Linked DNA regions of Drosophila melanogaster. The protein of the gene in region 2 interacts with the protein of the main gene of each other region in a pairwise test. Each region holds a gene or a part of one and is shown on either strand. Other genes may lie near its edges.

Region 1 (3,756 bases), on a different chromosome or scaffold from region 2:
CCTTTGGAATTTTCTGAATTTTTGCCAATTTGCGAGGAGCAACACAGGCGGCAGCAACTGCAACTGTTTCCTGTTTAGCTGGTAGTGTTGTTGCTGCTGCGGCTGTTGTTGTTGTTGTTGCTGCTGCTGCTGCTGCTGCTACTTTTAATGACTCCTCTACAACTTGTTCAGCTGCTCCTGCTGTCGAGTTTATTACCAACGAAGTGGCCGTCGTCGTTGTTGAATTTATAATTGCCGGCTGTTGTTGCTGCTGCTGCTGCTGCGACTGCTGATGCGGCTGCTGATGCGACTGCTGATGCTGCTGCTGATGCTGCTGCTGATGTTGCTGCTGGGTTGCCAGCGCCGCGGCTCCACCTTCTGGTATGATTGTTGCAAAAATTTGTTCGCCAAATATGAAAAGATCCTTGGAAATAATCATTATCACCTTTTTGTGAACGCTTAGCTGGATGTTGTTGGTGTTGCCGCCACAGTTTTAAATATACGTACGTGTGTATTGGGGGGATTTTAAATGTAAATCTTGTTTAAATATATCTATGTGTATATGCGTATACAACTTTTTGCTCGTCTTCTGCCTGCACTCGCCTTAAACACGTTTCGTTTCGTTTCGTTTATTTTAATGCATTAAACATATTTTGCGGCTCTGGGAACTTGGCTTTTTTGGGGATTTCTTTAAAATTTCATAATTCCCTGGCTTGTCTGGCTTGCCTCCTTTTTCTTTTCTTTTCCCGAGTTGTGGCCGACTGTAATATAGTAAGAGCAGAGAAGAGTACAGATATAATTAATATGTAAGCCAAGTGAAACAAGTTGTGATATAATTTTAAGATTTAAGAGATTACATGATTATGAATACACAAAATTATTTACATTTTCGACAATGATGTCGGAAGGTAAAAAGTCAGGCAAGCACGGAAACAAAGTGATGATTTTATTATTATGAGCAGTTTGCTTTTTGCTGCACAATCCCAGTGAATTGCATTCAATTTATAATTTATTGTTACTAGGAATTCGTTGCTTATTCAAGTTGCAGTGCTAATTATTCACGCGTTATTCATGCGATATCTCTGTTATTCACTGGAATCAGATGCTCGCCAGCTCTCACCGAAACTATTCACTTCATTTCAGGCTTCACTTAATTCGTAAAAACGTTCTGCAATTTTAATAATTTATTTAAACTTGAAAATGTTTGCCTCGACTTCGAGGAATCTCCTCAAAAACTCAGATTCTACACAGCTTTTTGGCTTGAGAACTTTTCCGACAATTTCCTATATGCACTGCCACCGGCACAGAAAAAGATAATGAAAAGGAATCGCAGAATATCGGTGAGAATTGGGGAGAATCAGAGAGAAGTGGAGACGCCTGGCGAATTTTGTTATATTTGTCAATTAGCCCGCGCGAAACAAAGCGCCAGAGCAAAACGTCAGTTTTCATTTTTAGCGATTTCAGTGTGTTTGAACAACATATAATATAAGGTAAATGCAGTAATTGCAATAACAACGCACCCAAAAAGCGAAGGAAGGTAATAAAATTCTTTGTTGCTTTTTCGAATTTGATATTAAAAATCGTCAGCACTTTTTTTGCAATTTAAATGATTTCTTTGCCTTTTTTTTTCGGCTTACTTATTGAACATATGTAGGTTTCTTGTAAACATTTTTGATAACACGCGTGTTAATTATTGGATGGGGAATTACTCGATTTATAAAGCCGAAACGAAACACGGACAGATCGAACGAAAAGTAAAGTAACGTAGAAACACGACGAAAAACAGAGAGCTATTCCGCTTTTCCACACAACGCGAGTTCGGCGCGCTTCAACATTGAAGAAAACATCCAACGGCGCCCGTTGATCTGAACGTACTGAACTGATCGCGGACCGTTAAAGCTAAACGCTTGCGCCAGCGCTCCAAAAGTCGCCGCTCATTCATTCCCGTTCTCTCGCGCTCTCGCTCTCGCGCACTCTCCCCCCACACTCATTCTCGCCGCCTACGATCACCACACGTGCGTATGGAGCTTGCACCGAGAAAAATCGCCCTAAGGTGTATGTTTTAAGTCGAGGAATGAAAAACCAAACAAATTATGGCTTGCATTCAGAAGGCATGTAAGAGATATCTCTGCAGTATCGAAAAATGATAAAAATTAAAAAATTAGATGATAAAGTTAAAATTTTATAAAGTAAGTTAAGAAATAATTGATTACGTTAAAATTAAAAATCCCTGGCCTTCTTTTGTGTAAACACTATTTAATACGAATTATAGTAATAAGTAGTTATATTTTTTTAAGTGCAGTCTCTCTCCCTTGCTCTCTTTCTATTACATGAATGTTAAGTTATCTCTGCGTACATTGCATTACAAATGTTATGGGCTTACAGCGAGATCACTTCCCCTGCTGTTCCCTAACAGTAACAGGGCTCAACATTTTGTTATCCATATTCAGTTCCCAACGAACTTTGGTAATCTTCGTTGATAAATAAAGCGAACCAATAAAAGTTGGTTATTTAGTTTGACTGATCTCGAATTTCAACTTGGTGATAGAAATTTAAGGTCTTGGCTGGCAACCCAGAAGTCATTCAACAAGTTTCGAGACGTTTTTGGAGTAGCAAGCGGTTTTCGGGCGATTTAATGTGTCTCGCGAAACAAAAAGTTTTACTAATTTTTGAGTCTGTCCTACGTTTCGATATCTTTTGAAGGCAATTTTTCTTCTTTACAAATTATATTGTACTTATCAAGGAGTTGGATCAACAATGAAATTTTCTATACCTTTTTTTAAGTACTTGAAATTAAAGTTGACAATAAAATATTTGTTGGTCTGCGAGCCTTTAATAGGGTACAATTAAAACAAATTAAGTCTCTAGAAGATTCGCTTCATAATTTCTTCTTAATGCTGTTAGGCAAATGCCCGCTTTCCAATCTTATCAGTCATTAAACTCGAGGGTAACCGCTGCGTATACGCAATTTGAATGCGTATACGAACCGTGTGTGCGTGCAATCCGCGGATACGATTGTGTGCGTGGGTGGCCAGAGGGCGGTAAGGGGAAAACGAGGGAGGAGGAGATTACACTTAGAACTTGGAACGATAATACAATTATAAGCCTTAAAATGTGTCACCTGCGCTGGGTCGTTGACCAAATCAGATGGAAAATAACGCACAATTGCATATTAGGCCTAAATAATGATGATTGTTCAGTTTGCAGCGAAATTATTAAGTTTATTGTGTTGCCATAAACTTGGAGCGAATAAGTCGCCAAGTTGCCGCTATGTTTTTTTCTCGTTTTCGGTGCGTAGCTCTCGGCTCTCTATAAAAAAAATTATTTTTTCCTGTTGCTGTGTTGGTGGTTTTACTGTTGTTACTGTTTTTTATTTATACGCACAATGTGCAAAATGTGCGAGACACCCATACAGTGGCACCAATTCACGCACACGCACTTGCTCTTAACCTTGAAAAAACACACAGCCAATTTGTTGTTGCTCTCGACTTCTGGTGGCTTTCTTTTTGTTTTTGTTTCGTTTTTTTTACTGAACTTTGTTTTTGTTCTACCGCTGATAAGATTCTTATTTTCTTTCTTTTTCTCCTTAATTTGCTCTTTTCTTCTTCTGATGTGTGCTAGTGCGTATGGTGGGCCATTTTTCTAAGTGTACGTGTGAGCGTACGGCAAATATTGAATTTCTAGACAAATTTTATTAAGCGATGTCGGAATGTGAATAGTTTCTTGGTCTTTCATTTTGTATGTTATTTGCTAAATTTTCTATTAATTTAATTTCTT
Region 2 (3,756 bases):
AAGGGTGTCGATCGTCACCTCTTTGGACTTAAACTAATGGCGGTGGAGAACTGCCTACCTGTTCCGGAGTTCTTCTCTTCGCCAGGATATGTAAAGTCCACGCACTTTCGAATGTCCACTTCGCAGGTGGCCACCAAATATGATGCCTTCATGGGATATGGACCTTCTGTAGAAGATGGATATGCCTGTTGCTACAATCCCCGTGAACATGACATCATTTTGGCCATATCCGCATGGCGACATTGTCAGGCAACTGATCACCAAAAGATCGCCAAGGCGCTTGCGCAGTCCTTTGCTGAAATGAAGGATGTACTTGAAACATGTCCAGCTTCAAAAGACAAGCCGCCAGAGCTTAAGTGCAAGTATTGAATGTGTTTTCCTAGAACATACTTTGGATCCAAAAAAATTCCTCTTATTCCAATAATACGTTCGTTCAGTTTGGAAAGCTAAATTCATTCCCATTTAGTGGGACTTATTAAAGTACTATTAATCACTTCTTAAAATCGTCATCTAGTTAAAATTCAATGGTTTTTTTTTTAACAATTATATTTTAATACGGATTTGGGTAACATTGGCAAGCACTTAAACCTAAGTGGTGTTGATGACAGCTAACTAGATCTGGATGTGACGAGCAATGAAGAATACTTAGAACTGGTTCGCGGGCAAATAATGATTGCCGATGGGACCGACGCCAGAGTTTCCGGCACCGTTCTCCGCAAATTGTCCCTCTGAATGTTGCTGCTGTTGCTGTTCCTCCTCCTCCTCCTCTGGAGGATCCAGGGATCCCACCACCGAGGTGATGGGGGCCACACCCTCGTCGGTGATGGTCGAACTTCCTCCCAAAGTATCGTACTGTGACTGAATCTGCCGCTGGGCATTCAGAGCTTCCTCTGGAGTGCGGTACTTGATGAAGAACACCTCCGGCTTATTGATGTGCTGTGGCGCCTCGGCAATGGCATCCTGCAGATCGGAGGCGGTCGTCTTCTTGGCCAGCACATAGACCACGGTCTTCTCCTGCTTAAGGGTCTTGGCCAAGTTAAGAGCCGCCGCGCGATTGGTCTGAGCCGGCGTCTTGACGAACAGCACATTGTAGTGGTTACGGGGCTGCTGGGCCAACTGGTTCAGCTCGTCCTGGACCTCATCCTCAGACTCCTCGGGCGCCGAGTGGATGAAAAAGTTTTTGGTCACAATGGGACGCTTGGGAATCCTGACACGCGGACGAGCGCGTCGCTGCTGCTGGATGGGAGCGGTCTGGAAATTGACGGGGAAGCCGGCGGGCATGGGAAACGATCCGGCTGTGGGACGAACTGCAGGCTGGGCAGAATGGAACTGGCCAGCGGGCGGGAGGTAGGGCAGTGGGAGAGGTGGAAGCACCGGGTGCGAGGATTGCTGGGGCTGGAGCTGCTGCTGCTGCTGCAGTTGCTGGTTCAACAGGTGGGCCACAATGGGCGGTTGCTGTTGCTGCTGCTGCTGTTGGATGCGGTAGTTGTAACCCGCCTGGGTCAAGCTGATGTCAGCCTGGCTGAGGCTCAGGCACATGGCGCCCATCAGAACCGTCTGAAAGAGAAGCAATCATTATAATCCCTTGTAATCCAATTGGCATAGAGGTAGTCCAAGTTCCAACGCACCACAAATATCTTCATGCTGCCGCTTGGGTGGGTGTCTCTCTGCTGGTTAGCTGTCTTAAGCCGGATGCTCCCTCGCTGTCCGAGTTTCTTAGTGCTGTGATGATGGGTCAACCGGGCACCTGGCCTTTTATACCAATCCACGGGCCCAACTTGTTTATAATCGGAAACAAATCGTGAAACAGCAGCCAACACAGTTGCAACAGTCGAGGGGTCATAAAACATTTGTTATGCGTGGCGAAGAGGTTGTTCGGATTCATTTGGCTGGGTGGCAAGTGGGCTTTTGTATCGACTTTACATGGGGTTCCACAAAAGTCGAGCGAGAGGAAGCCCCAACAATGGGTGATACAGATACGACAAAAAAAAATCTGCATTTGTTGTAAACAAGTTAGTCGAGCTGTAACTATATCATTTTGAACATTTGCCTTATAAATATAATATATATTAAGTGTGCGTTCACTCCAAGCAAGTATCTAATACGATTTCAGAATATAAACAAAATTCAAATAACTATTCATTCATCAGATCCCTAGTAACTATACTAACTTCAATCTCAATATTGCAATTAATTCATTGAATTTGATTATAGATTTATATTTAGATTTTTTCATACAGGCAGTAAAAACATTTATTGAGAAACTACTTAATCATTTAATTGTAAATATAATTAAAATACCCAAGCATATCCATGGCTGCCAAGTGGACAATCAAATCGTCGTTTAAATTAATACAAAAGTTTTGTTTAGCTTCGTAGTTTTTGCAGATCAGTTGAATGTCCCAGAGTAATATGTAAATATTGATGACGAAGATAGGCGGACGAGGTTACTCGACCGACTTAAAATGCACTTTTGTCTACGGGACCATTGTCTCTATTTTGTTTTATTGTTCGAAACCTGAGCTATCAAATGGAAATTGAAAATTGTATATGCCGGGGACTTCAGTATTTCGCATCAGTTTTGGTCTGGCCCAAGGTCTAGGTTTTTGTCTCCATTCGATGGGGCGTAAGTGTTGGGCGATATATTGTCAGCTTTAAATGTGCCAAATTGAGACAAAATGATAGTATTGAATTTGAATTGGATTTCAAACTAAAAAAGTGAAGGTAAATAACCCCCGATCAAATCGAAAGCACAGCGTATCAAATGGATATGCCAGCTTCCAGCGGAAATTAGTTGTCATAACAAGCAGATGCATACGGAATACAAGCAGATATAGACCTTATAGGGCTAATTGGCAGGTCTCCATACTAATGGAGTGAATGTGCAAATGGTGTAATATCGAAGCGGAGATAGCAAGCTTTGCTGCTTCCTTTCCAATTTGGACTTACACACTTGCCACTTTGCCACCTGAGATATATTTCAAAATCTTGTGCATCCGACAGGGTGCATCTCATTAGCCGGGTGAAATTCTGCCCACAAATCAAAATAAACCAGCCAAGGGCAACTTGGCCACCAGATAATGAGTTAGCCCACATGTTTTCTGGTCGATGCCAAAAAAAAAAAAAAATGGTTTTCAACTTTCTCACGCCAATTTCGTGAGCCATGAAAAACAGTGAAATGGAACCGAAACTATGTTCCCTTTTTGGGCCATTAAAGATGCAAAGATCTGTCAAAGAAATATACGATAAGTTGTTTTCTGTTTGTAATGGGAAACCAAAATTACTTTGTCATTAATTAATAGATCTAAATGCATTAGTTCAAAAGTAGCAACAAGAGAAAATTACAATTTTAAATGGAAATAAAATGCGACCATGATTAATGGGTGCCAACTATTGCCGCACTTTGCATATTTTATGCAAAATGAATAAGTTGCCAAAATCTATTGAATGCAAAACACTCGGTGCGCAGATTAGTCAAAGCATAAAAGTGAATGTTGACGGTACACAAATTATGATTTGCGTAACAAAACTATTTTATTTTAATTTATTAATTCACACCATGAGAGATTTTGACATAGGCTACCTTTGTCCATTCCTATGCATAGCATTAGCAACCGAATCCGAACCCAAACTACATCCACCTGCGAATCCGTATCCCAAATCCATCACATCGAAACGATTGGGCGATAAATGCCCCTGCGATCGATGCCTACCATCCATCCGGTCGTAATAAATGCATTTTTAATTATTGGCCTA

The links. Proteins that work in one complex are often made in the same cells at the same time.
Region 1: the proteins of TwdlW (region 2) and E23 interact in a two-hybrid assay, tested with the Drosophila melanogaster proteins (one large-scale study listed by BioGRID).

Annotation. Positions count from the first base shown.
Region 1 is NT_033779.5:3,352,975-3,356,730, forward strand, and holds the start of E23 (early gene at 23), read right to left. Parts: upstream 1,856-3,756; 5' UTR 1,500-1,855; exon of another isoform or gene 865-1,499; intron 741-864; 5' UTR 419-740; coding exon 1-418.
Region 2 is NT_033777.3:17,140,670-17,144,425, forward strand, and holds TwdlW (TweedleW), read right to left. Parts: upstream 1,736-3,756; 5' UTR 1,644-1,735; coding exon 1,629-1,643; intron 1,558-1,628; coding exon 646-1,557; 3' UTR 539-645; downstream 1-538. Other genes in the region: CG5265 (uncharacterized protein), read left to right, coding at 1-369.